Mus musculus: one gene and its partners. The protein of the gene in region 7 purifies or fractionates together with the protein of the main gene of each other region. This does not show direct contact. Links are inferred from orthologs where the notes say so. Each region holds a gene or a part of one and is shown on either strand. Other genes may lie near its edges. The genes, in order: Cnot1, Ago3, Pan2, Cnot10, Ago2, Ago1 and Tnrc6c.

Evidence for each region.
Region 1: the proteins of Tnrc6c (region 7) and Cnot1 purify together in Homo sapiens (co-immunoprecipitation; 4 studies listed by BioGRID and IntAct, with this or other methods). This does not show direct contact. The link is inferred for Mus musculus from reciprocal best matches to the Homo sapiens genes TNRC6C and CNOT1.
Region 2: the proteins of Tnrc6c (region 7) and Ago3 purify together in Homo sapiens (affinity purification with mass spectrometry; 3 studies listed by BioGRID and IntAct, with this or other methods). This does not show direct contact. The link is inferred for Mus musculus from reciprocal best matches to the Homo sapiens genes TNRC6C and AGO3.
Region 3: the proteins of Tnrc6c (region 7) and Pan2 purify together in Homo sapiens (affinity purification with western blotting; 3 studies listed by BioGRID and IntAct, with this or other methods). This does not show direct contact. The link is inferred for Mus musculus from reciprocal best matches to the Homo sapiens genes TNRC6C and PAN2.
Region 4: the proteins of Tnrc6c (region 7) and Cnot10 purify together in Homo sapiens (co-immunoprecipitation; 3 studies listed by BioGRID and IntAct, with this or other methods). This does not show direct contact. The link is inferred for Mus musculus from reciprocal best matches to the Homo sapiens genes TNRC6C and CNOT10.
Region 5: the proteins of Tnrc6c (region 7) and Ago2 purify together in Homo sapiens (co-immunoprecipitation; 6 studies listed by BioGRID and IntAct, with this or other methods). This does not show direct contact. The link is inferred for Mus musculus from reciprocal best matches to the Homo sapiens genes TNRC6C and AGO2.
Region 6: the proteins of Tnrc6c (region 7) and Ago1 purify together in Homo sapiens (affinity purification with mass spectrometry; 5 studies listed by BioGRID and IntAct, with this or other methods). This does not show direct contact. The link is inferred for Mus musculus from reciprocal best matches to the Homo sapiens genes TNRC6C and AGO1.

What each region holds. Positions count from the first base shown.
Region 1 is NC_000074.6:95,804,646-95,808,945, reverse strand, and holds the start of Cnot1 (CCR4-NOT transcription complex subunit 1), read left to right. Parts: upstream 1-1,500; 5' UTR 1,501-1,613; exon of another isoform or gene 1,614-2,116; intron 2,117-4,300.
Region 2 is NC_000070.6:126,426,743-126,431,042, reverse strand, and holds the start of Ago3 (protein argonaute-3), read left to right. Parts: upstream 1-1,500; 5' UTR 1,501-1,756; coding exon 1,757-1,775; intron 1,776-4,300.
Region 3 is NC_000076.6:128,301,837-128,306,134, forward strand, and holds the start of Pan2 (PAN2-PAN3 deadenylation complex catalytic subunit Pan2), read left to right. Parts: upstream 1-1,498; 5' UTR 1,499-1,635; intron 1,636-2,258; 5' UTR 2,259-2,375; coding exon 2,376-2,657; intron 2,658-4,298. UniProt on the Homo sapiens protein: Catalytic subunit of the poly(A)-nuclease (PAN) deadenylation complex, one of two cytoplasmic mRNA deadenylases involved in general and miRNA-mediated mRNA turnover.
Region 4 is NC_000075.6:114,637,401-114,641,469, reverse strand, and holds the start of Cnot10 (CCR4-NOT transcription complex subunit 10), read left to right. Parts: upstream 1-1,269; 5' UTR 1,270-1,529; coding exon 1,530-1,551; intron 1,552-3,460; exon of another isoform or gene 3,461-4,069. UniProt on the Homo sapiens protein: Component of the CCR4-NOT complex which is one of the major cellular mRNA deadenylases and is linked to various cellular processes including bulk mRNA degradation, miRNA-mediated repression, translational repression during translational initiation and general transcription regulation.
Region 5 is NC_000081.6:73,182,148-73,186,240, reverse strand, and holds the start of Ago2 (protein argonaute-2), read left to right. Parts: upstream 1-1,293; 5' UTR 1,294-1,458; coding exon 1,459-1,480; intron 1,481-4,093.
Region 6 is NC_000070.6:126,462,084-126,465,583, reverse strand, and holds part of Ago1 (protein argonaute-1), read left to right. Parts: intron 1-1,728; coding exon 1,729-1,912; intron 1,913-3,500.
Region 7 is NC_000077.6:117,720,289-117,723,788, reverse strand, and holds part of Tnrc6c (trinucleotide repeat-containing gene 6C protein), read right to left. Parts: intron 2,840-3,500; coding exon 239-2,839; intron 1-238. UniProt on the Homo sapiens protein: Plays a role in RNA-mediated gene silencing by micro-RNAs (miRNAs). Required for miRNA-dependent translational repression of complementary mRNAs by argonaute family proteins.

The DNA of each region.
Region 1 (4,300 bases), on a different chromosome or scaffold from region 7:
AGAGGAGCTGTTTTTGCAGAGGTGCAGGGGTGGGTTTCCAGCACTCATAGAGCAGCTTACAACTTTACTGCTGAGACTCTCATCTCAGTCCCGGGGCATCCAATGCCTTCCTGGGTACCAGGTCCACACTCTCTAGGTGAACATATATATAGGCAAGCACTCAGACACTTTTTTTTTTTCATCTAGGGGTTGGAAAGATGGCACAGAGATTACAAGAGCTGGCTGCTTTTCCAGAGGACCCACCCAGTGGCTCACAACCGTTCACTTCCAGAGGGACGGGCATCCTCTTCTGACCTCTGAGGACATTGTACATGCATGGTGCATAGATTTACATGCAAGCAAACGCCTGTACACGTAAAATAAGTAATAAAAGTCTTTAACACATCTCTTTAAAGTTCAAATAGTACTGGTATGAGAGGTTACGTCTATTATCATCTCAGTATTTTGGAAGATTGCAAGGAGCTCAAGGTCAATTTATGCTTCTTAGTATGTTTCAGGCCAGCCTGGACTACAGTTGGGTTAACTGAAAGAGACCTTGTTTCAAAACTCAAACAAAAAGTCTAAAAGATAGGAGGACACAGTGGATAACGTAGCCTTTTATCCAAGAAGCAAAAGGCATTGGCATCCTTGAGAATAGCCAAGAGCAGGAGGAGAACTTCTGTTTCTATATCTCTGCAAAGCGTCCCTGCTTCAAAAGACAAATGGAAAACAAACTTTAAAAGAGCCAGGATTAGGTGGGCATCTGGGAGACTACATTCTCCAGCATGCATTGCTGCTCTAGGGCGCAGACAGTGATGGAAGAGACCACGTTACTTTTGCGACAGGAATAGGCGGGGCGTGCGACTACATAACCCAGGATGCAAAGGACCTCAACTTTGCCCCGCGTCTGACGCCTTCTGATGACTGGTGCTCCTTGCTAAAGAGATCCGAGGGGTGGACAATGCTTCCGCTGGGAACCCGCACAGCCTCTCGGACCGTGACATTTCGAAAGACGAAGGAAAGTAGACGAGCATCACCCTGTCTCTAAGTTAGAGTAGTTTGTGCGCAGGGTGGCAATGCATTAACGAGCTCCCTTCCGTATTTTTTTGTTTCCCGGAGGCAATGACCAGCCAGTCCCCATAGGTCGAACACCTCGAAGGCTTATGTCTTCGAGTCCCAAATCGAAGTTCCCAACGTCTAACCATTGGCTTACACCCGGGTGCGCAGGCGCCCAGACTCGGACCCAGTCCCAGGGCTGATGAGCGGCAATTGGCCTGAGCCCCGCAAACTAGGAGTCTGGATTGGTGGTTGCTAGCAGGAGCCTGGTTTCTTCCTCGACTTCTGCGAGTGATTAGTGTGTGATTGGTTTAAATCCGCGGGTACCCATCGGCGATTGGACCGCCGTTGCGGTCAGCGCGCGGCCATTGGCTGGGCGCTAGGGCCATCCCTCCGCCAAAGCGGGCAGCGAATGGTGAAATGGGAACTGGGAGGGGAAAGGCCGCGACGTGAGCGCGCGACCTCGGGCGCCATTTTGTCGAGAAAACAAGCGGAGTTAACCGAAGAGGGGGGTCGAGGAGAGCCGGAGTCGAGGACCCAGGAGTTTCCTGTGTCCAGCGCTGCGGGAGCCGACTGAGGTGAGGCGGGCTGGGGCTGCGGTTGGAGGTGGCGGAGGCTGGGAGTGTCAAGCTCGGGACGCGGGTCCGGGTGGGAGCGGTACCGGGGGTGGGGTGGACTGGGGACCCTGGAAGCCTTTTCCCGGGGCGTCGGGACTCGGGCAGGCGAGCCGGAGACGTGGAGCCAAGGCGGGAGGGGACGGACTCGGCCCGCTCGCGGCGGCTTTGCTCTCTTGGAGAAGGGAGACCGGGGGCTCACGTTCCTGGATTCGGAGCGCCCGGGCGCGGGTGAGCAGCTCCGGAGCGGCTCGGCCTGGAGGCCTTGCCTGGAGGCTTCGAGGATGGCGGCGGCGGAGGTGGCAGTTCGGATCCCAGGGCCTCGGCTCGCCGCGCGCGCAGGGCTGCAGCCTCCTCGGAGCGCACGAGCTCCTCAACTGTCCCTTTCCTCCCGGGCTCCCGGATGGGGGGCTATGGGCGCGGGCGCCCGCGGCCTACCTAGGTTCCTCGCTGGGCGGGCGGGCCAGGGGGCGGGTTTGGAGTTGCTGCCGATTCGTAGCGCTTTCCGGGGACTCCCTCCCCTCCTGCGCCCCCCAGCACGTTGTCAAGCCCCTCGCTTTTGGCTGCTTGGCGGTGGGAGGGGCGGGCGGGCGGGAGTGAGCACTTCCGTGTTACCCTTCTCGCTACAGGTTTTTTGTTCCACTCGCGCGCCCCGGCGCTCGCACTTTCTAACAAGTCGATAGCCCCCCAACTTAAGTCACCTAGGTCCCTGTGCGGTTGGTAGTGTTGGTTCTGCCTGTCCCAACGCCCCCAACCCTCCAACCGGCAACTACCGGCAGATGCCCACCAGTGAGCAGAATGCTTGTGGGTCTTGATTTGGTGCAGATCTTGGAGAGATCTTAGGTTAAGCCTAAGGCTAATAAGCAAACACATTTGGCCATGCCACCAGGTCCGGGAGGGAGCTCACCCACCTGTGCTCACAGACATTACTTGCAGGAGGAGTGCTTTGTAGGTTTTGAAAAGAAGTGCTTTTCAAAGTGTTGTATGGAAAATTAAGCTTCATGAGAGGTAAACGTTCCCCAGAAGTCACCTCGACAAATATTACAGTCCCACCTTCCGTGGACATTTAATCCAGGCAGGCCTTGTATCAGTGAGCTCTAGCCCCAGATGTCGAGTTTCTTTGGGGCCTATATACTTCTTTTTCCTCTCTATTCAAAACCGAGTAACAGTACTTGAGTTTTCCGGTTTTGTTGCAGTTCGGTCCCTTGTGATTACAATGGAGAGGGGGGGGAACCCAACAACAATCAGCCAATAATTGAGTGGGTGTACTGCTTATTAGAGAAAATACCAGCATTTCCCTCCTGACCTCTCTTTGGAAAAGTAGTATACATGTGTGAAAATGGTGGAGGTAGAAATGGGACCTGTTTTCAGTGCTGTGTGAGGACATTACAGATGGTTGTCCCATGGCAGGAAGACCTGATGATAGCAAGCAGGGCCTTGGCCTGAATGGCAGGCAGGATGTTAGTAAAGGTTCTTTTTGCAGGCAGAGGGTCTGACTTGGGAATTTGGTTCTTTTTCACCTGGTCCTGGCTGTTTGTTTAGTGGAAGCAAGTCTAGAATCGAGGCACACACATACACACACACAAATCTGACCTTTAGCCGGGTGTGGTGACACTGGCTGCTTGTAATCCCAGCAGTACAGAATGGGGCATGAAGCTCATTGTGATTTCTTTACAGCCTGGGCTACATGTGAAAGCCTTGTCTCAGCAACAAAAACAGTGGGAAAAAACAAAGGCTGAGTGGGGAGGATCCTAGTCACTAATACCTGAAAGTATTTTTTTAAACCCAAGATTAAAATTTGTTGAATAACACACACACACACACACACACACACACACACACACGAGTGAGTGAGTTTAGCATTCTTGTGCCATAGCTCATGCGAGGAGAGGTCTAAGAATATGAGGAGTCAGTATTTTGACGCTTAGTGAAATGTAAAGGATGGATCTCAGGTCCTCATGCTTGTGTGACAAATGCTCTTACCTTTTGAGCCATCTTGAGGCCCTTAACAATTATAGTCTTAGAAGTTGGCTTTATATTCTTGGTGACTTTATTTTATTATTTGTGTGTGTGTTGTTCATATGTATGAGTACCGTGTGTTGAAGAGTTCAGCAGAGGGAGTTGGGTTCTGTGGAAGTGGGATTATGGTTGGGTTGGCTTGTAGTTAGGGTAGCCTCAAGTTCAGAGTCCTGTCTCAGATCACTAAGTGACAGTAGGGCAGTGTTAGATTGTAGATACTTATAGACTCTTCACCACATAACCCTGTTCTGTCTCTTTAAAGCACATTTATCGTGTGTGAGTGGATTTATGTTGGTATGGTGAGTACATCCCACAGTACTCATCAAGGGTAGAGGACAACTTTGAAGAGTGGGTTCTCTCCTACTGTTTTGGTCCCAAGCATAGACCGCAGGCAGTCAGACTCGGTGGCAGGTGCCTCTACCTACTAGTGCACTGCACTTGTCCCCATTTGATGCTTCTTGAATTAACCAAAATAGTATTTGCCCTTTTGAAATGGCGTGTTTGCTGACACACACACACACTCTGTATGTGTTGTTGGGGCTGAACACAAGACCTTAACATTTGAGGCAAATGCTCTCTACCCCTGAGCTGTGTGTTTTGCTCCTTGTTGGCACTCTCCCCACCCCAAGTAC
Region 2 (4,300 bases), on a different chromosome or scaffold from region 7:
AAAGATGAATCAGTGGTTATGATCACTGGCTGTTCTTCCAGAGAACCTAAGTGCTTCCCAGCACCCAGGATGGCTCACAACTGTTTGAACAGTTCTCAGGAATCTGCCACCCTCTTCTTGCCTCCAAGACACCAGAAGTGCAGAGACCAGACACCACCACACACATTTGAAAACAAATAAAAGCATGCTGTTTGTCACCACACCATGTTTTTCTGGAAGCTAGTTGAGCTTGCATTCATTCAAAGAACTAGTTCCAGAATCAAGAGATTGGGGGTAGGATAGGTCCTTCCACAAGTCTGAGATTTAGTTCTTATGGCTTAGGTCAATATGGATTGTATATAATCAGAGCTTGAACATGACTTTTAAGATGTGCTCATTCATCTGAGGATGTGATATTTTAAAAGTGATAAGAGTATTTCTTTTCAGTCAACAGGAAGAGAGGCAGAATTGGTGTGCTAGATGTGGCTTGGAGTCACTTCCATGTATTAAATGTTTATTATGTAGTCAGCATATTTATTAAGTACCTCAAAATTGTAACTATTGTAAATATTTTTGTTACTAACATTTGGGAGGTTTTTGTTTTTTGTTTTCCTTTCAGTTTTTCTGATGAGGAAACTAAAGTCCAAAGATAAAGTGACTAATCCAAAAACCCAAAACGGGGAGGGAAGGGATCGTGAAAATAAAATCTTTCTCAATTCTCTTTTTTAAAAAAGAAATATATGTCAAAACATTACTGGTTCATTGGGACACGGGGAAAAATACTGAATCATTGCTAAGCTTGCATGAAGTATCTGGTTTCACGAAGCCAAGTATTTTTAAAAGACGGACTATTTGCCGGATAATGAGCTGGGTCTAGTCTCCCAAAGGTTCCAAGTCAGCAGAAAAGCACCAGACTGGATCGGATCGGGGAAACTGGAGGCTGACCAATTTAGCTGTAAAAGTCTCGAGTCCCAAGGAAGAGAAGGTTTAGCAGGTGTTTAAACACCGGAAGGTCGTTTAGGTTCCTCAACGTATTGGGAGACTGTTTAAACATAAACGTAATTCCATCTGGTATACATGGAACATCCCGTTTCTTGTTCATCCGTTTAAAAACTATATTGAACTTGTGGTCACCGCCTAGTGCACGTGCTCCAAGCGGGTGTGGCAGACGGAGCTGGGAGGGAGGATGCCCTTGGCTGGTCACCCGCCACTCTCAGGTAGGATGTACCTCAGGTAAGCTCCGCGGGCAGGCAGCGATGTCGCCTCAAGCAGCGGTCCTCACCCGGGAGGCTGGCACGGGGAAAGCTGGCCTCTCGCTCGGGATTGTCGCCGTCAGGCACAGCGGGTGCAGGGCGACCGCCCATCCGCGGCTCCGCCCCAGCCAGGCACCGGCTCACCCGCCCACAGATCCCCAGACCTTGTTGCTCCCGCAAGGCTCTGGCTCCAGGCGAGCTGCCGACCCGGAGGGAGAGCGGGGCGGGATCCGGAGAGCGGAAGTGACGCGAGCGGGCTTCCGGGGGCGACCGGGAAAAGCGAGCGGCTGCGGCGGCGGGGCGGCTGGCGGGTCGGGAAGCTGCACGCGTCAGCATCTGTGGGCGACGCAAGTTCCGGACCTGGTTCCAGCGTCCTCACTCAGGACTGTCGCCGCTCTTACCTCGCTGCAGGCTGTCTGTCTCTCCCGACTGTGCCTCTTGTGCCCGGAGCTTTCCGAGGGCGTCCGCTCCTCGCCTCTGTGGTGGCACCCTTCTCTCGTGAAGCACTCCCCCCAGCTCCATGAATGGAAATCGGCTCCGCAGGTGAGGCGAGCTGCGGGACAGGGCAGGTGGGGTCGTTACCCCGATGTTGTCCCCTGAGCATCCTTGTTCCTTCCACTTCAGGTGCTGTCAGCGCACATAGTGAGGGAGTTGCGGGCTTTCAGGCCCGATGCGGGTGTCCTCTCCACAGCCCAGGGACCTACACTCTTGGGGTCATTGAGTTGGCGAAACTACAAGGAGGGCTTAAGTTTGGAGTTCTGTAGGTGATGACATCCCCCTAGAGTGCTTTCCCCTGAGAATGGAGAGAAGTTTGCCCTTGCTTTTGGAATTCTTGTTGGAAATATAAAGGGCGCGCTTGTCCTTTAACCGGGTCGTGTGTCCCATGGATGCAGAACAAGTCAGGCATAACCCTTATCTACCTATTAGTGTAGTTTGAGGATACTCTGAGATAATCAATGATTACGTTTCTAATTGGTGCTCGGGCGACGTCAGATGCAAGATGGCATTGCTCCCACCCCTGGTTCTCAGTGTCTGAGTGTGTAGTTTCTGAGGAGCTCGGAGATGTCCTGTCGCTCTGGACCACTGCTTACTAGAAGGCAGAGCTTCAGGATGCTGACACTATTTCCCCTCTATTTTCTATTCCCTGCACAGGAAATCTGGAATTTAGGATTTGTCTCTTGAGGAAAAAAAAAAAAAAAAAAAAAAGAGGTCTTGAGAAAGGAAGCCGGCCTGGATAGTGCTTGTCTTTAAAAAGGAAAAAGTAGTCAGCGATTCTAAAGTAGTTGATAGAGTAACATGAAATAGGTGTTACATAACGGCCTGCTGGCCCAGCAGTCACCCTGTTCTCCAGTTTGAAAGTTCTCTCCATCCACAAGATCAGTAATATATTGTTTTCATATATTTGGGGGATTGCCTTGTTATTATGTCCTAGCAAGTCACTGAATTTCATATCTCATCTTGCCAATTTGAAAGGTCCCCAAATATAAGAGAAAAAAAAAAACCCAAAACTAAAACTAGCAACATAGAAGGCCTTCAAATCAGTTCAGGGCATAATTGTCGAAGGGATACAAAAAGGCATTTCCTTTATTATGTGGAATTTCTTTCTACTCAGTGTCTACCATTTTTTCCCTTTCTATGTTCCATTTTTTTTCTCATATTTTCTTAACAGTGAAATATGTCTAGGCTGTGAAGTTTTGGACTCTTATTATCAATATGTGTGTTTCCAGACTGTATTTTCTATGCTTTAAAAGTTTACATTCTGTCTGTACTGCTTTTACTTTATAAGATAATCTGATTATTTCCAGCTCTCTGATTTTTACATAGCTACCCTGTTGCCAAGCCTGGAAAACTAAATATGACATTTAAGGTTGTGTTAATCATCTACCTAAAACTTTTGAAGAGCTTTCCCCCAAATTGAGTATTTTCCCTATTTGGGCTTTTTATGTGAAAATATTGACATGTGTTGATTATTTGTGATATAGGGCCAACTACTCAGTTGATACAATTAGCTAAGCCTGACTCAGTAAAATGTACCTTTTCTTTTTGGGTGTTGTTTTGATAAAATATAGAGCAGTTGATGTCTTCCCATCAGGGAAGGTATAGTTAAGATTTATTAACTAGTTTGGCAATGGTGGCTCACACCTCGGTCCCAACATTCAGGAGGCAGAGATGGTTCAATCTTTGTGAGTTGGAGGCCCGCCTGATTTACATAAAGAGTTCTAGGCCAGCTGGGGCTACTTAGTGAGACCTTGTCTAAACAAACAACAAAACAACCAAATTGTTGTTCATTGAATAAAAACAAACAAAACAGTTCTACCAGCCATGCTTGGCCATCTTGAAACATAGAATTTGTTCTTCAGTGAAGTTTATGTGTGACTGGCTGTTGTTTACTATCAGGCTCAAGGTTGTTACCATCAAAATGATTCTTTTGGTTGGGTGCAGCGACCCATGGCTTTAACCTCAACACCTGGGTTTCTGTGATTTAGAGGCCAGTCTAGTCTACATAGTGAGTTCTAGGCCAGCCAAAGCTACATAGTGAGACCCTTCGGAAGGAAGGAAGGAAAGAAAGAAGGAAGGAAGGAGAAACAGAGAGAAAAAGGGAGAGAGAGTTTTTTGTGTTGTTCTTGCGATTTTTATGTAATTGTTACAGTGAATGTGAAATTGAAACATACTTAGGAAAATAGACAACTAGGTTTTAAATTCAGATTTGACATTTTTTAGCTATGTGGGCTGGAGAGATGGCTCAGCAAGTAAGAGCACTTGCTGTTTCAGCAGAGGACCCGGGTTTGGTTCCTAGCACCATGTGGTAGCTCAAAACTATAACTTCAGTCCCAGGGGATCTGATGCCCTCTCCTGACCTCCAAGGGCATCAGGCATGCATATGGTGCACATACATATGTGCTGGTAAAACATTCATACACATAAAGCAATATAATAAATTTTAAATTTGAAAAAAATAGATATAGGTGCTTTCTAACAGTCTATTAGGTTAGTACTGAAATTTTGGTTCTCAAATTCTGTTTTCCTTTTAGTGCAATAGAGGATATAAAATATAATTATTATGTAAT
Region 3 (4,298 bases), on a different chromosome or scaffold from region 7:
TATGAATGTGAAGACAACCACATTGAGTCTCAGGGATGGAACTCAGACCCTGACAGTTGGTAGCAGTATCCTTACCTGCTGTACCATCTTGAAATCCTCTTTCACCTTTTTGAAAAGAAATACATTTTTATTTGGATGAGGGGGGTGTTTTGAGACAGGGTCTCACTGTCTAACCTTGGTCGGCCTAGAATTCACTACGTAGACCAAGCTGTCCTCAAATTCACAGAAATCCATTCTGCCTCCTGAGTGGTGGGATTGCCATCCCACTTAGCCTGGTTTTTGTTTGTTTGAAACAGGGTCTCATGTAACCTGACTAGCCTGGGACTTGCTATATAGAAGAAGCTAACCTTGAACACTAATCCTCCTGCCTCAGGATTACTGCCATTACAAATATACCTCCACTATGCCTGGCCCAATAAATGCTTTAAAAGTTTTATTATTGGTGTTTATTATTGGTGAGAACTTTCTTCCACAGGCACCTGTTGAAAGGGATATTCACCATGTAGCCATAGCAAGCCTGGTCCTTACTATCTATGTAGCCTAGGCTGGCCTCGAATTTGTAAGGGATTCCTGCCTCTGCTTTAATAATGCAGGTATTGTAGGTATGGACCACTAGTGGCACAGGGCCTTTAAAAACAGAGATGACAGAGCTGAGTTTGGGCAACCTAAGACATCTCACAGCCTGGACCAATTCCAAAGCAGTTTAGTACACAGCCAGTACCCCCAAATATTTTAGACACGGTGACACACTCTCACAGGAGAGGGAGAGGCAGTAGGATCTCTTAGTTGGAGATTAATCAAGAACCCCTCAGAATAGCTACAGCTCAGTTGACTCAGTTTACTGTTTATCTCTCTCTTGGGGTCAATGTCCAGCTCCACGGTCTAGGGGAATTTTGACAGTCTAGGAGACTTGTTTCTTGGGAAAATTAGGGGACCTCTGGGGACGACACAAACATTGATGGGAATTTCAGATGGATGCCTCTAGAAATAGAGAAAAGGTGGCCACTTGGGCCACACTAGAAGTCAGGCTCCCGCTTCCTTTTTCTTCCCCACATCTAGAAGTCATAGGAAATGCCAGTGAGTTTCGGGGGTACAGGGTCAGAGGTATTGGAATGGCTCACAGGCACAGCAAGATGAAGGTCTATACGCCGGGAATGATGAAGGCCACGCTGGGAATACCCACCGGGCGAGTCCCAGTGCTTAGCCTCTGGCGCCCCTTTAGTCTAGTTCTTATTCAGGGAGCGTAAAAGCTTGGCTTCAAAGTCTAAAGTTAATTTTGCTTAACAAAGCCTGAGAGCGAAGGGATTACTTTTCGTAACACCAAATAGATCCGCGCCTGATTCAGTTTGTCCCCGGTGGCATTCCGTAACCTTGTTTTGGCGGAGGCTACGTCACTCTCCTTCTCAGGCGCTGCCTGTACCTGGCTTTTTCTGATTGGCTGGGATGAGCCCGTGGCCCCCGCTGATTGGAAGCGATGGCTGCCAATCCACCGTCCGTCTTGCTTGGGTTAGGTTGAGCTAGAGGCGGGGGAGTAGTAGGGAAACTGGAATTTCCCGCGGAGCTGACGGCGCTTTCTCTACCCCCTACTCGTTTGAATTCCACGCGCTCCAAAATATCCGCCATGGAGAAATCTTGGTAATGACCCATTCCCCGTAAGCATCCCAGGAACACGTCTTGACCTTTGCCCTAATCCTTCCCCTCCCGTCCCCTGCGCTGGGGGAGAATTCTGGGTAACCAGTTTCTCTGGTTCGCTCAAAGAATTCTGGGTAGCTATCCGTTTCCATTACTTCCCCCTTACCCCCGCCCCGTTTGTGGGTAACTGGCCGTTCTTGTTACCCACCCCCTGGAGAATGCTGGGTAACCACTGTAAAGGATTCTGGGAAACTGGCTTGTCTTGCCCCCTTCACCGCCCAGCCCCTTTGTCTCATGTCCAATTCTAAGAAACAAGCATTTCAGAGCTCTCCCCCGAACTCCAGCCCCTATCAAACCCGCTCCCTTCACCTTGTGGTTCAGGAGAAAGGGAAGTCAAGAGTTAGATCATTTGGTGGGCTGGCAGGGAACTTAGGAAGTTTAGAGGTGCAGAGTAAGGGACACTGTCATGCCACTCACAGTACAGCGTTGCCCTTGTCCTCTTCATGCATGCTTCCGTCTTTGCCTGGCAGTCTCATCCCCTCTGCCTACCTGATTGTCCTGTCCACATAGAAGATACTTCCAGTACCTAGGCCTATCCCTGACTGCGCTGCCTCTTTCCCTTGCAGGCCAGAATGTCCATTCTAGGTTCACTGGTGCTGTCCTCCTGAAGGCTGGGTCACTTGTCTGTAGGAAGCGTGGCAAGGGAGGGTGTGACTCCGGTCTGACCAGCGGCCACTATCGTCATGAACTTTGAGGGTCTGGATCCTGGACTGGCCGAATTTTCCCCAGCTATGCATTCTACCCTGGACCCAGTCCTGGATGCCCACCTGAATCCAAGTTTGCTACAGAATGTGGAGCTAGACCCAGAGGGAGTGGCCTTGGAGGCTCTTCCTGTCCAGGAGTCAGTGCACATAATGGAAGGTGTCTACTCTGAGTTGCACAGCGTGGTGGCTGAAGTGGGAGTGCCTGTGTCTGTCTCCCACTTTGATTTACATGAGGAGATGCTGTGGGTGGGGAGCCATGGGGTAAGAACTATACCCCTTTCTGAAGGCTGAAAGGGTGTATTAGAAATCTTTATCTGGTCTTTGCCCAAGGACAGCTCTTTGCAGGTAGTCAAAACTGAGTTGAACTGATGAGAGTTAGCTGGGTCTTTCAAACCAACAAGGGAGTGGAGAGATTAACTACATATTTAGTTTCATAAGGCATTCCACTCTGTCAGTTCTCCTATCACTACTGTGTTTTTGCGACAACATCTCTCTCTATAGTCCAGGCTGATCTAGAACTCACAGCAGTCCTCCTGCTTTTGCCTCCAAAGTGCTGAGTTTCCTTGTATGTAACCATATCTGACTGTTGTTTATTGTTTTTGTTGTGTTGTTGTTTGTTTATTGTTTTTAAAGACAGGGTCTCTCTATCCCAATCTGGCCTTAAACTTTATGTATAGCCAAGGATCGTCTTGAATGTCTGATCCTCCTGCCTCTATCTCCTGAGCGCTGGGAAGATAGACACCAAACCCATATTCAGTGTATGTTGCTGAGATAAACCCCGAGGCTTTTTGCACAGCAGGCAAGCACTGAACTCACTCCTACAGGTCAAATCCTGGTTTTGTTTTGTTTTGTTTTTTGTTTGTTTTTTGTTTTTCGAGATAGGGTTTCTCTGTGTAGCCCTGGCTGTCCTGGAACTCACTTTGTAGACCAGGCTGGCCTTGAACTCAGAAATCTGCCTGCCTCTGCCTCCCGAGTGCCTGGTTTTGTTTTAAGATAGGGTTTTGCTGTGTAACCCAGGCTGGCCTCAGATTTACAACCCTAACATCATCTCCAGAGTGCTGAGTTTATAGGGGTATCACCAACCAAGCTCAGCCCATGTTTTGATTAACTATATCCATCCCTTAGTTTATAGCCATCCATACTCTTTAATATTTTACCCAATTTAGAATTGGGAATGGGGTCGGGGTTTGAAACAATCTCAGTATGTAGCACCTTCTGATCTGGGACTTACTATGCAGCCTAGGGTGGCTTTGAACTAGGGGCAGCCTTATCTCAACCTCAAAGTGCTAGTGTTTCAGGAATGCACCACACCTCGTTTATAATTGCAGAATGTTTAATGAATGTTTTTGGATACCTATTGGAGTTATTTTGTCTTCTCTTTCTGATTGTTAGTCTTAGCAGTTATCAGTGTTAATTTTCAAGTGTGTAATAATATATGCTATGAGGCCAAATAGTTTTTGTAAGACCTTGGTTTACTTATTTACGATTTCATGGGGGTATGAATTGTTTTTCCATTAGGAGAAATGAACTTTTTCACCGATGTATTCAGTTCAGTAAGTCAGGCATGACTACTGCTGTGCTCGGCACAGGGAACAGAACTGAATGCAGCATAGACCATAGAACAGGCATGGTTGTTCACACCCTATAACCTTGACTTGGAGGCTGAGGCAGAAGGATGGTAAGTTCCAGGCCAGCATGGATTACCATAGTAAGACCATGTTTCAAAAACCAACTGCCACCACCAAAACAGAGGTCTCCCTGCCTTTACATCCTCAATGCTAGACTCTGAGGCATGCGTTGTTGTGCCTAGCTTTGCACTTAAAAAAAAAAAGTATTTGGTGGTGGAAGCTGGAAGGTGGGCACTTATTCAACCTCTTGTCAGCAGAATGAAGTGCACACAAC
Region 4 (4,069 bases), on a different chromosome or scaffold from region 7:
ACTATGCTCCCATCAAAGCACCATTTGGGTCACTTTACAATTCAGTGCTGTTGTCATTTATATATGAAGTTCCTCTCCCTCAAAAGCCTGCATATAGGAGGCCCGGCCCCCAGTCCTTGAGAGTGATAATAGGATTCCAACAGTTTGGAGCTATCCTTGGATTCATCCACTTGCAGATTCGTAATTTGGTGCATCATTAGGAAGTAATGGAAATTAAGGAGGTGCGGCCCAGTGGGGCTAAGTATCTCAGTTGCATGTGCCCTTGGAGACTATTTCTTCTCCCAGCTTCCTCTGCTTCTAGCACCAGGAAGGCAACAACTTTACTCTGTCACTTGTGCCCTGGCACAATGCACTGCTTCACTAATGGTCCAAAAACAATGGAACCAAGTGACCTGGGACTGAAAACTCTGATACACGAGGCAAAAAATCCATCCTTCCTCATTTAAATTCTCCTCTAGGGTATTTATCACAGAAGCAAAAAGTCTAACACAAATGCTTTTAATGTCTGTTTCTCTCCGTGAAATGAACCTCTGTTATTATAAATGCTGTTTGTTCTCTAGAAGGGAAAGGAAGAATGGAGTAGGTGCTTCTGGAACCCAAGGCTATGGTCATTGAGCAAAACCAGAACCAGTTCAGGGTTAAAGCCTTTGCCACAAAGACTGCCAGATAGGGATACATAGTGAGATTCTGTCTCAAAAAATTAAACAAACAAACAAACAAAAATTTGTCACGATATGGGCTAGAGATGAGATAGTTGGGAGCTGGGTAGTTGAAGAGTGGGTATTGTTTTTGCAGAGGATTTGAACTTGAATCTAAATCATTGTGCTTAGTAATCGTGATGCATCAAGCTTTTGTCTTAGACCGACCTACCATAGTAAGTTAATGGTTGCATGACTCGCAATCAGAGAAACCGCATGCATAATGCAGTCTGAATGGCTTTTTCAACTTGGCTACAAATAACAAAACAGCTCTGAAACTTTGAAAAAAAAAAAAGCCTTTTTTCTGGGGGAGGTGGCCTCCTCTAACAACACTTCTCTCATCCTCATTGTTATGGAAAAACAGCCCCTATGAGACTCAGAGCTTAGCACATAAACCTCAGGTGTGGTGCCTGCCATTTTGCTGAAATGCGGAACAAAAAGTCCTTCCCCTTCTGTGTTTCACTCAGGACCTACACTAGTGTACTTCCGGGTTTGCAGAAGGACGCGCTTCCGGGGCCGAGGCCAGCCCTAATTCCCACGCCCAGCTGGCCCCGCCCCGGAAGTAGCGTCTCCCTTGGCCGCTACGGGACGGAAGCTGTGGATGGCGGGGAAAACAGCCCTGCACCGGCGGATGTGTTGGCGCTGTTGCTAGACGACGAGCAGTAACTTCGTCACTTCCTCAGCCCGTGGCCCGCCCAGGACCTTAGCCGAGGCGACTGGAGCGGGCTTGAGCTGAAGAGTTGTCCCCCGCCGGTAGGACTCACCACCAGCCCGGCGGCGGGAGTCGGGGCCACGCCACCTACAGGGAGGAACTCGAGCCGAGGCGGGAAGATGGCTGCAGACAAGCCTGCAGGTGAGGCGCCCGCGCCGCGACCCAGGGGCTGACACACTGCGCGCGGGGACGGCAGGGCCCGCGTGGGGGACCCGAGGGCCACTTGACTTCGCTTGGGTACTTGTGCCCTTCACTCTTCTCAGCTGTCTCTACTGTGAGTCCAGTGGATTTTCTGCTGTGACACATCTTGATTCTACTGCACCCCATCTTGATTGCACTGCATTTGCCTTGCTCTCCAAGTTAATTCTGGCGCAGGAAGCTTGAATTTGTCACGCCGCTGTCCAGACGCTTTAAGGGAAAGTCTATCCGAGCACGCACGGTTGCCGTAAGGCCCCCCCAGGCTCAGCCACTGAAAAAGTTCCCTCTGGTCAGCGTGTCCAGTGGAGTCATTCTGAAAACTGTCTAAAGAGGCGTGACGTTTCACTGTGTCTCCTGCCTGCTCTCACTTACCTTGTTCCTCATCTGATTTTTCCCGAGCTCCTCGAGATTCCTTTTTAAAAGTCTTAATTATGTGTGTGAGTGCAGGTGCCTGCCGAGACTAGAAGAGGACATTGCGTCTACTGGAGCTGGAGTTACACAGTTGTGGGCCACCACTTGTGGGTGCTGGGAACCCAGTCTTGGTCCTCGGCAAGAGCAGCGAGTGCTGTTAACCGCTGAGCCATCACCTTTCCAGCCCCAAGATTAAGTTCTTTTTTTTTTTAAGTTATTTATTTATTTATTCATTATATGTATGTACACTGTAGCTGTTTTTCAGACACCCCAGAAGAGGGCATCAGATCTCATTAAGGATGGTTGTGAGCCACCATGTGGTTGCTGGGATTTTGAACTCAGGACCTACGGAAGTGTAGTCAGTGCTCTTAACCGCTGAGTTATCTCTCCAGTCCCAAGATAAAGTTCTTAATTTCTGTGGTTTTCTGTGGTACTCCATCAGGAATTTTTCCCATTAGGGAATTATGAGAGCCCATTTATTACCTGGAAAGTCTGCTATATTTCTTTGAAGAAAGTAATGTTTAGAGAGTGGGGCGGAATTGATTGGTTGATTGATTGATTGATTGATTGAGGCAGGGTCTCACTATGTATGTAGCCTTGGCTGTCCTGGAGCTCGCTATATAGACCAGGCTATTCTCAAACTCACTAGACATAAAGCCTCCTGAGTGCTAAATTAAAGTTGTGTGCCATTATACCCACTGCCATAGAATTTTAGCTAGGTGATCAGAGAAAATCTATTGTGAGGTGATTCCTTTTTTAAAGTTATTTTTAACTTTGGGTGTATGCACGTGAGGACAAATGCCTGAAGATGCTGTCCGAGGAGTTGGGTCACGCAGAGCTGGAGTTACAGGTAGTTGTGGGTGCTGGGAATCAAACTCAGGCCCTCTGAAGAGCAGTGTGTGCTTTTAATCACTGAGCACCAAGGTGATTTGCATGTCTTGGCTTTCAAGGATCAAATCCAATCATCAGGGCGCAAGTATCTTTACCCACCGAGCCCCTGCTGATCCAGCTCCTGCTGGGATAGTATTGAGCACAGATCTGAATAAAGTGAAGGGGTGATCCTGTTGGTGTGGGATGCAAGAAGGGTGCCAATTGCCTGCCCGGGTCTAGACGGGACCGGGACTGTCCTTGTTAATCAAAACAGTGCTGCTTCTGGAATCATTTCCCGGGAAGCGTCTCACCAGATCCAGGACTGCCCGGCTTGAGTTGCACCTCAGTCACGTGGCGTTCCTTCACTGCTTGCTTCCTTCCTTCACAAAGACACTGTGCAGGCATCCTTCAGATGATGAAGTGAGTGTAAGACAGCCTGCCTCTGAGGACCTGCACTCTGGACCTCTGCTGGGTTAAGTGGCATGGTTCTGGCTGTTGGGTCCTCGTAGTTGCTCTCTTACACTTTTCTTTTTGTTTTGTTTTGTTTTCTTTTCTTTTTTTTTTTTTTAGGTTTTTTTTCGAGACAAGATTTCTCTGTGTTGCCCCTGTCTGTCCTTGAACTCCCTCTGTAGACCAGGTTGGCCTCAAAAGCAGGAAATCCACCTGCCTCTGCCTCTGCCTCTACCTCAGAAGGCTGGCATCAAAGCGTGTGCTGACCCAGCTGCCAGCACCACTACCACCCGAGTAGTACTTTATCAGCACTTTACTCAGTGGGTAAAGGTGTTTTCTTTCAAGCCTGACACCTGAGTCCATCCCCAGGACTCATGCAGAGAAAACTGCCTTCTCCAGGTTGTCTCTGACACACGCACACGCAAGTAAACAGCACCAGCCAGTGTTTCTTATGGTAGTGGTGAAAGAGGCAGAAGAGACATGTTAAACTTATTTGGAAAGTGCCAGCCCAGGGTCCAGGAAGTGAAGGGGAGACACAGTGTATTCCATCCCTGCTCTTGATCCACCATGGGCTCTGAGAAGCCGTGGCAATCACTTCCTGTGGGAGTTTTTTTAAGGGGCCTCACCATGGCCCCCTCTGGAAAAACAGCCTCTGGAAGCAGTTTTTGAAAGTAGCACACGGGGAGAGGATTTGTCTGTGTTGCTTCCTCCTGCTTTCTTCTTCCGGTTG
Region 5 (4,093 bases), on a different chromosome or scaffold from region 7:
TGAAGTCTAACACCGCCTCCCGCCGAACACCACCTCCCCCCCCCCCCCACCTCACCGCATCCCCATTAGTTCTGTGTTACCCTGACTGGTTCTGAGCCAAGATGACTCCTGAGTTCAGCAAATCCTGTCTCCATCCCTAAAGTACCAAAGTATTGGTACCGCAAGGGCTAGGTATGATTGATTACCCATTTGTGTCAATCACTTGGGAGAGGGGTGGGGGCAAGTCTTTCTTCTATGTATCCTAGACTAGATTTACGGTTGCCATCCGCCTCCCTCGACTTCTGGCTAGCTGGAATGGCAGCCCTGCAATGCTGTGTCTAGTTTCCTCCTCCTCCTCCTTTATTGGAAGGAGAGCTGCTTTTCTTGTTCCTGGGACTATCTTTGAGCACTACACAGAATATGGAGCCTACCCCGATCCTGGGGTCCCTGCAGTAGGACCCTGTTTGTCTTTGGCCTGGGTTCTCAGTATGGGCTTTGAAGACATTGCAAAGCCTGCAGGGCGAGGCAGGAGCTGACACACCCGCCTCTTCTATAGAAAGGTTCCAGAGGCAGCTGGACAGGACTAGGAGCACACGCCAGCAACAAGTGAAGAAGGGACATACGTGCACAGAGCATGCTGGTCTAGCAGGCCTCAGAGCAGAACTTGGGGGCTCGGAGGCCAGAAAGCGGGAAGCCCCGACCAGATCTGCTCCCTGACAGCTGATAAAATTTAATCCTGAACTTGCTGGGCTTCCTTGGTGCTTTGCTAGGATTATCTAGGTTGTGGAGTCGCGCCGGGAGGTGGCGGTGTGGTCACGCGCACGGGTCTGGCCGCGTCCAAGTTCAAGCTCTGGGTGGGGAGCTAGCTTCCCGTCGCCGTTTCGTTAATAACTTAAAGAGCCAGGCCGAGGTGCAGGGGCGGGTGCGTGGCGGGACGCGGCCGAGGCTCTGCCACTCGGCGCGGGAGGACTCCGACTCTGGTCGCAGTGCCGGGCTGGCCGCGCCCGGAAACCAGACGTCGCCTCGCTCGGCCGCAGGGAAGGTCTCGGCTCGCGTGCCCTGGGTCGCTTCTGGGGTCCCTCATTCAGGGCAAGCACGCGGGGGGCCGCCACAGCGAGTCCCCCCCCCCCCATCCCGCCGGCGCGCGCCGCCTCCAGCCTCCTCCCCTGCCCCCCTCTCTCCCTGCCACCTTCCCTCCTCCCCGCCTCCTCCCTCCCCGCTGTCCCCTCCTTCCCTCCCTCCCCGCCGTCCCCTCCCTCGTCGTCCCTCTCGCCCCTCCTCCTCCCCTCCCTCCTCCCGCTCCCCTCCCCCTCCGCTCCCGCCGCCTCCGCCCGCCGCCCCGGCCGCGTCGGGTAAACCTGTTCTGCGAGGCGGCCGCGCCGGGGCGGATCGAGCGGCCGGCGGCTCCTCGCGGCTCGCGGCGTCGGGGCCCGTGGAGCGCGCGGCCGGCCCTCGGCCGCGGCCCTCGGCAACGCCACCATGTACTCGGGAGCCGGCCCCGGTGAGTCCGCGCGGCGCCCGGCACTCGTGCCGCGGCGGTTGGCGGTTGGCGGGCGGGGCAGGCGAGGGCGGCGGGGCCTGTGGGGCCGCGGCGTAGCCTCGGGGCGGCCGGGCAGGGCCTCGGGGCCGGGAGGCCCAGTGCACCCGAGCAGCGCCACCGGGACGTGTGCGGGGGCCCAGGCTCGGCCTGCAACGGGTCTCCGTCCTCCCGCAGCGCTCCTCCCGCCGTTCCCGAGCGCATAGCTGTGGGGCCCAGCACGGCGGGCCTGGGGCGGGGAGCTGGACGGGTCGGGAACCGAACCACGGGGCCCCGGGACCGCGATCGGTCGCTTGGACGCAGTTTCACGCCGGGCAGCCGCCCTCCCCATTCAAGTGCTAATCGCCCTGCGATTTCCTAGCGGAGCGGGTGGCCGCCGTGGCACCCCTTTCCCACCAGCGTGCCCGTTTCTCTGGAAAAGTTCCAGAAAACTTAAAAACACGGACGCATTTCCCCACCCCGCTCCTGGAGCCGAGCGGAGGGCGGTTTACTCGCGGGGTTGAGAAAACAAGTGTTGGGGAGGCTTTTTCGCCTTCTCCCGCCAGGCACGTGGCTCCATTTCCCGGCTGCCCCGCCGCTTGCTCGGGCTCAGCCTGCACCCCTTTGTCCGCCAGGCTGTACTTGGCGCCCGCGGGCCCTCCCTGCTGCCCACCTGACCTAGTGGTTCGGCCCTGGGGCCTCCCCAGACTTCTTCACTGTGGGGTCTGGAAGCCTCCCAGATCCTCCCGGGTTCCCTATGGTGCCTGCTCCGGAGCCTAGTGCGCCTCCGCTCCTGATGTCACAGGGCTCCTCGAATGCCCACTGACCAACTTGTAAATGCGTTAAAAGGCTTCCCAACGATTTGAAGACCCTTTTAACCTTGCGCTTGGGAGGTGCCCGGGTCCTAGGGACAGATGTTGGGGCCTGGAGGTCCCTGCGAAATGGCCAGCGGCAGCCTCCTGCCAGATTGGGAACCCCCCCCCCACCCCCACCCCCCAGCTCAGCGCTGTGGAGGAACCCAGCAAATCTTAGCTCCAAATTTGTACGTTTTCCCAATGTGTCAATTTCTAGTGACTTCCTCGGGGACGAGGCCAGGCTTTCGTCAATTTCGCGTGTTGATTGATCCCTTCAGCTTGCCACAGTGGGTCTTTCTTGAAGACGCTGGACAGTGGAGGCTCAGAGAGGTTTAACATCCGGGAGCCAGCAAGCATTAGGGCAACCTGTTTGAGCACTCCCCTCTAGAAGTGGTTCCCAGTCCCTTTGACCTTGACCCGCTGTTGGAAGTACTGGTTTGGTGTGGATTAGACCAGTGAGCTCTTTGCTAGGGTGGAAGTAAGAGCCTACTGTGTGTTCTGCAAGGGGAGCTTTGTTGCCTTTAAAAAAAAGAGAGAATGCGGTAGCAACCGGTTCATTTTGGTCACTGGCAGCTTTGAAGATGGCTGCTGCGTGGGCCTCCGCATTGTGGCCTAAGAGGGAGACAGTCCCCTCTAACCAAGAAGGCCTTGGGTGAGAAAAGAGATGCCTGTAGGATAATTCTTGGCTAATGGCAGACTGGGAAGGAACTCAAGTTTCAGGTGGGCCAGTGTCTGTAATTGCAAGCCTGGAGTGCAGCTCCATTTTATTGTACATATCAAGGCTTTTAATTCTGTTTACAAGGAATCCCCCCGCCCCCATCTCTTCAAAGAGACTCCATCATATTTCCAAGTTTAGGAGAATGGAAGACCATTGGATCTGAATTATAGAAAAGCGACAGACTTTTGCTGTTTCTGAGCTTGATGGGAAGTAAATAGTAAATTAACTTTAAAAATAGAATTCACCGTGGGTTCTTATTGTGTCTGTCACAAATACTGTTAGATGTGTGAGGTTAGTAACATTGGGGGCCAAGGTTTAGAACCTCATAGGGTTTTTTTCTTTTCCTTCCTGTGCTATTGGGGTTGGTTAGTGGTTTCGGGAAGGTAAATTAACTACCCATACTGAAACTTCCTAGATAGTGGGTTCTGGGTGGGGTCCCCCCCACCCAAGGATCTTAAACTGTCTGGGAGGAGCTTTGCCTCCTGCAAGGCGGTGCTCCTGCATTCTAGAGCCCAGGAGTATTTGCTACAAAATAACCTCTGTGACTCTGGAAACTGGGTTGAGAGTTGCCAATCAGGACTGAGTCTTTGATCATTGCTGTGGCCTCCGGTGGCAGCGGTTAGCCCTGCCCCCACCCTCATTCTCCCCAATTCACAGTTTTGTCTGAGGGTACCACTGCAGCCTGGCGGCCTGTGTGTGCCGCAGGGAAAGCTCTGCCAACAGCTGGAACGCACAGCCGGTGGCTGAGCACTTGTGGGAAATCTTTCCCCCACCCTCCAGTAGCTTGTGGGGGAATTTAAATAAGTGTTCAAGAAAAAAGATGTAAAAGCTTTGACTTACACATTCTGAAGAAGCAACATTTTGTAACTTTTGAGTTTCTCTGTCAACACCATTGGTTTTATTCTTTACAAGTAAAGAGGCTGGGGCTGCCAGAATGATAAAAATGTTTCTCTTCTTCCCCCCCCCCACTTTTAAAAAATTTTATGAACTGTTATCACACAATTTAAAAAAAAGTTTCTACCGTGG
Region 6 (3,500 bases), on a different chromosome or scaffold from region 7:
GGGATCCTAGAACTTGGGAAAGGGAAAGATCTATCCGAAAGGGGGCAAGTGCTTCTCCAATGCAGAGTTTATGATTGTTCGTTCGGGACCGTTGCGAGTGTGGTTGTGTAGTTGTGTACTCTTGTGGTGTGCCTATGGGTAGACTTGGTCATTCATTTCATATGGGTATACTAAGTACCTGTCTTTGTGCCCGGCATTAGCTTGAGCTGTGACTAGGTCAAGTATGGTCCTCTTTTTGAAACACTGAGCTGAGGATGGTGAGTGTATGTGCAACAGTAAACTTTAAAGAGCTAGGATGTGAGAGGGGTGTTTGTTAGTGGGCTTGTGCGCAGTGTCCGCTCAGCTCTTTCTGGGATAGGTGTGACTAGTTTAGTTCCTTTGCCGCTGAGTTCTTTGGGCTGGACTTGCATGCTCCTCTGTGGAAAGGGGCTGGGGCTGATTTGACAGGTGGTTAGAGGGAGTCAAGTCCTTCAGCTTTGGAAAGTGTGCACCTCCCACAAAATGGTGCTCTTCCTGACCCCCCTCCCTAAGATATGCTCCGTATCCTCCCACCCCTGCCCCATCCCCCAGTCCTTTCCATGAAAGCAGAGCTCTGGTAAAGGGAGGTTCTGAGTTTATCCCTCTTCCACCTGGGCTAGTCTTCTGCAGGCAAGAACAATAGTAGCTGAGGACAAAGGCCCCACTTAGTCAACACACACACACACACACACACACACACACACACACACACAGAGAGAGAGAGAGAGAGAGAGAGAGAGAGAGAGAGAGAGAGAGAGAGAAAAGCTGGCCTATGCTAGCCTTTCCCAAGGGCCCCTTCTGTTCTGAATCGATCCTTTCTGCTGTCTGGACCCTCTGTGTGGAAAGATTTGTGGAGAATGGAAAGTGCTGTTTATTCCCCTTCTGACCTGCTGCCTCCCCTCTTACTGCTCTTCCTCCTTCCAGAACCTCCAGCTTTCTTCCTCATGTGAGCTTTTCTTTCCTTCTGTTTCTTCATTCTACATCTTGATAGTTTTTTCCCTGTACCCCAATCCAACTTACCTTGCCTTATCTGCACCCTTTCCCCCACCCCCTTCCTGTCTGTTTTCTCTTGTGTCCTCCAGATCCGACCTTCTCTCCCACCCTGGCAGTCTCCTCTTAGTCTGCAGATGCTGTCCTTCAACCCTTCTCTTCTTTATGTCTCTCCAGAGCCAGCCACTGCATGTCTCAATCCTCTCTCAGGCACCGGCCTTGCCCTTCCCAGCCTGGATTACTTAGGGTCATTCTCCTGTCCACATTAACAGAGGGTGTAATCACAAAGTTCTGTGCCATTTTGTGCTCTGGATGGTAATGAGTGAAGTAAGCCTCTCATAGCACAGAATAGGACCTTCTCCATCTGCCAGATGCCCGGTAGAGACAGTTATCTCAGTCTAGTGTAGAAGGAAGAAAAGGTTTTGTAAAACTAGGAAACAGACTTAACTACTTTTCTTGATGCAATAGGAACTCGTTACACATTTACTCGATGAGGTTTCAGATACACATTTTCCTAAATGAAGAAAGGTTTAAAACAAAAATAAAAGAGAAATAAGCCACCAGAAAAACCAGTGAGCCTGTGAGTGTCTGAGCTAGTGGAAGCCCCCTGCCGGGTTAGGAAAACTGGAAAGAGACCAGTGGTCTTGGTCTGAGGGGCCATGTCTGACCACGGTAGGAGACTGCCAGACTCTGTCCTCAGTGGCGTCTTTGTCTTCACAGCGGCAGGTGCCTACCTGCCTCCCCTGCAGCAGGTGTTTCAGGCACCCCGCCGGCCTGGCATTGGCACTGTGGGCAAACCAATCAAGCTTCTGGCCAATTACTTTGAGGTGGACATTCCTAAGATTGACGTTTACCATTACGAGGTGGACATCAAGCCGGATAAGTGTCCTCGCAGAGTCAACCGGTAAGCGATGCCCGCAGGTGGCACCAAGTCCAATTTATTAAACAGGGAAAAGAGGAAGCATGCCGGCTAGACGGAGTGTAGCACGGAGCATAGTCTAATATTTGCTGATGTGCATGAGCACAGAGACTAGAGACTTACTAAAGGAGCTGGTAGAGAAAGAAGTTAAAAGGCAAGGTCAAAATGGCGGGAATAAGAACAGGATGGATGTTCTTGCTTGCAGGGGATGTTGTGGAATGTGTAGTTGGAGGGGTTAGTCGAATAAGAAGCAGATTAAATTGGTTTATTATTACTTGAAAGTCATATTCACAATTAAAAACTAGGAATTAGCAGTGAAAAATTATTGTTCTTGAACATTTTTTTCTACAATCTTGAGTGTATTTTCAGATGTTTTTCTGTACGTGCATACATTAATATATGTACATTAATATTATAGTCATGAGTATATAATACATTCTATAGTAATATATCATCAATTTCTATTATCATTAATTATTAATTATATTCTTAACAAGCACATATAATATTACATTATTACATATTATTGTATATGCATATACACATTGATTTTGTACAAGTATTACATATAATAAAATATATGTGCATTAATGTTATGTATACATACGTGTCATAGTCAGGGTTTCTATTCCTGCACAAACATCCCGACCAAGAAACAAGTTGGGGAGGAAAGGGTTTATTCAGCTTACATTTCCACATTGCTGTTCATCACCAAGGAAGTCAGGACTAGAACTGAAGCAGGTCAGAAAGCAGGAACTGATGCACAGGCCACGGAGGGGTGCTGCTTACTGGCTTGCTTCTCCTGGCTTCCTCAGCCTGTTCTCTTATAGAACTCAGGACTACCAGCCCAGGGATGGCACCACCCACAATGGTCCCTCCCACCCTTGATCACTAATTGAGAAAATGCCTTACAGCTGAATCTCATGGAGGCATTTCCTTCTCTGCGATAACTCCAGCTTATGTCAAGTTGACACACAAAACCAGCCAATACAATATGTAATGTATGAACACATATAATATTAATGTACAATACTATATACTTTGTTCAATATTGTCCATTTTTTTCTGTTTAGCCACATATATTGGAAAATAGCGTATATTAGTTTATTTAGATCTGCCTTATTCTTTTGCATAGTGCCCTAGGTAGTCCTTGGGGTGGCCGCATAACTTTCTTGATCTATTGTGGAATATTTAGGTTGAGTCTAAACTTTGCAACAAGATTGAAACTGTTAAGTATTATATAAAGATACATATTTTCACCCATGCATGAATGTATCTGTAAGATAGAAGTCCTAGGAGTGGAGCCACTGGCACAAGGCAGTTTAAATTGAGACATTGTGGATTCCTAGAGGCTGTGTCAGAAGAACGTAGGTGTGGGAATGAGAGCAAGGTGATGATGGAGAGAAAACTGCTAAGAGTTTAGAGACCCAGAGAGAGGGATTGTTCTACACTTTATTTTATTATTTCTAGGCTAGCTCAGATCGTTTGCTCTTTTTCCTTTTGTTTTTGCTCGACCGACTGGGAATTAGAGGTTGTGGAAGGTTCAGGATAGACCTGAGAACAGGTGCTTCCC
Region 7 (3,500 bases):
TAAAATTAGCCCCTCACTGTTGGAAGCATGATGAAAAGGACAACATGGCCGGAGCCCTGGCAGTACTGAGCACACCACCCAGCACATCTTTTCCCTGGAAAACTACAAGAATTTGCTTTGTTTCCTCCCTTGGAAACCAGCTACACCACTTAGTCATTTGCTATGAGAGTTTCAGTCCAAGAATTTACACAGGCACGGAGTACACACCAATGGTATGACCAGAGGGCCCCCAGCATACCTGGCCCGAGCAGTGGTGACCGATTCAGCTGAGTGCCAGCCTGGTGTGAAGGCGGCGTCTCGGCCCGGTGTGTGGTGCTGCTCGAGGTGGGGGTCGTGGGGGTGGCAGGGGCTGTGGTACTGCTCTGGATGACTGGATTGTTTCTGTCCCACATGTTTACAGTTTTATTGTTGTAGGTGCTTGGGTCCCCCCAAGCTGAGGTACCATCATCAATTTCCATTTTGCGTCGGATGGAGGGTGGGGAAGGCTCCTCCCAGCCAGTCGCCTCACTGCTGTCCTTCTGCTTGACTGGCAGTGGCCCCCCAATCCACCCTGTCCCTGTCTGCTTAACAGAAGCAGCTCCTCCCCAGTTACTCACATTGTTGTCTTGGGGCTTATGAGCCCAGTTCTGCTGGGGACCAGGCTTGAGAGACTCCCCCCAGTTTGTACCTGGATTCACCTTAGCATTTGTGCCACTGCCCCAGCCACTGGTCCCACATCTCGTGGCATCATTCCAACCAGACCCTGACCTATTACCATCAGCATCCCATCCAGATCCATTTTTCTTTCCATCCCCTAGATGTCCAAGGACAGATGATGAATCTGCCCAGTCTCCTGCCCCTGTGCTCCAGGCTGGGTTTGCTCTTTGTCCATCTCCCCAGTTTTGGGATTTGGGCTTCTGAGGCTCACCCCAGGTGGGTGATTTGTCCTCTTGGTTTACAGTCCCACTCCAAGCATGGCCACTCTTGGTGGCAGCAGCATTGTTAACAGCAGTAGAGCTTATTGAGTCCCCCCAAACTCCTGGGCCACTTGGCGCTTTGTTGTTGCTGTCTCCCCAGCTTGTGTTTGCTGGCACGGCGGCAGGTGGTGAGCTGACCCACCCCGATACTGAAGAGGTATTTGTACTGTTCATGATGGACCCATCAGTCTTCCCCCCTGAGTTTGAAGGCTGAGTAGCTATACTACCCCAGGCCTCTGTCCCATTGTCATTTTTCCTTTCAGACCTAGGGGACTCTTCAAATTCCCAGGCAGTGTTTTGCTTTACGGGAGTCTGTCCCCAACCACTGTTAGACAGAACTCTTGGGTCAAGGTCATTCCTTGGCAACTGGATGTGCCCTTGGTCTAGAACCCCTTTGTCTCGCCTCCGGCCCTCTCCTGTCCCTTCCCTCCCAGTGCTTCCTTCATTGTGATTGCCGGACCCATCACTGCTTCCTTCACTTGCTGTAGTTCCAGAAGATGTGGCTTTGGCCCACGAGTTCATGTGTTCACTGCCAGGCTGCAGGGCAGGGGTCTGGCTGGCAGCACTGGCACTGTCCCACCCTGTTGATCCTTTCCCACTGATGTCACTACTGGAATGCTGGTTTGGGGGCTTCCCCCACTCCCCATTCACACCATTAGAAGAACTTCGGCTGGGATGGCCCCAAGCTCCTGAATGGATATTACCAATGCCATTGGTGCCACTGCCCCTTCCCCAGGCAAGGATGCCAGGCCCTGCAGGAGGCCCTGAGTCCCAGGCGTTCCCTCCATTCCCTTCCTTCTGCACAGCACTGCTGGATCCGTTCTGCTTAGCACTTAATGCTGAGTTCACAGTGTCTCCATTCCCTTGACTGAACCCACAATTGGTACTTCCTGTGGCAGGGTTACCAGGGGACAGTCCCCACACAGAACTGCCCATTCCTTCCCCACCACTCCCACTGCCTTGAGAGACTGATGATCCGTTAGCACCAGGAAGGCCTTGCAGGTGGGGTGGGATGATGGCCCCCATACCAACAGCCATGCCCCAGTTTGGCAGTCCGTTTGTCTGCATTGCATTGATAGGGTTTGGTGAAGAGTTCATGGGGTTAGTGTTATTTGGTCCATCAGTGTTAAGGTTCTGAGGTTGTACGCTGAAAGACACATTCTGAGAAGTGGATGTCTGTGGTTCTGCGCTCTCTTGGGGCAGCAAGTTTCCCCAGGCACCTAGGGCGCCCACTGGGTTCCCATTCTGGCTGCCCATATTCTGACCTATGGCACTGACTGGACTGCAAATACTGGAAGGGTTGCCTGTTGCCACAGTTCCTTCATGCCCGAGTACAGGCCAGGCAGCTGGGTTGGCATTTGGATTAAGGTTGAGATTAATGCCCGCATTGGAGTTAGAAGCACCCCAACAATTCTGACTTCTCCCATCTCCGATCATGTTGTCCATTTTCCCATCTCCACCACCAACAGAGCAGTGAGCCAGGCCAGAGCTGGAGCTTGTGGCTACACCCCACACTCTGGCCACGCCCCCGTTCCCATTGGTTCCTCCTGCCCCAAGGGCACTCTGGTTAGAAGGGCTTTGGACGAGTGCGCCATTGGTGCCATGACTGCCGTTTGTCTTCTTCAGGTGGCTCGGGAAGCTGCTCTGGGCACTCCCTGTAGCCATGCTACTGTTCTCTGAGCCACAGTTGGAGGCAGAGTCAGTGTCGGTAGGACATTCTGAGGCAGATTCCGTCTCAGTTACTGGGATGGACGGCCACACCTCCGGCTCAGTCCTGTCTATTATCACTTTATCCCAGCTGCAGTTGGCTTCACTTCTGTAAGAGGGATGCTGTCCCCAGTGGGAATTTTCATAATGATCTACCAATCCACTGTGACCAAGATCTGGAAAAAGATGAAACAAAACTCAAAATTAGATTCTCCTCCCATCTGTCAATGAATCAACTAAGAACTAGTTTTGGGGAGAAAACTAGCTTTTTATCTTAAGTTCTCAATTCTCATTGAAAAATGCATAAAAAGCATAAGGGGCTGTGGGTGTGGCTCAGTGGTAGAGCACCTGCCCAGCACATCTAAGTTCCTGGGTTCCATCCCAGGACTACAAAACAGCAACAACAAAAACCACCAACCAACCAACCAACCAACCAACCCCTTAAAACCCCGAATGTTTCCTTGATGTTATCAAGATGACTGGACTAGCTCCTGCTGTGCAGGAGACAGCAACCAACATTCAAAAATCTACTTTGGTGAAATTCTTAGGAATCTAATGGTGTGGGGCATGTGTACCATTTCTTCTAAAGTGAAGGATGAGTTACTGCACTTAGAAAGAAGCGTTTAATGGGCCTGTCTGGATTCTGGAGACAGCACATCTACTCACTTGGGTGTGTTACTCAGGGTCCGTAGACCCAGTGACTTGGGAAGGTGCTAGCTTCGTGTGGAGCCTGAACAGGAGAAGACTTCTCAACAGGTCCAGGCTACTATGCAGGTTGCTCTACCAATTGGACCATATGGTCCTGCAGAGCCAATGGTGCCTGAGGTCTCAGTGGTA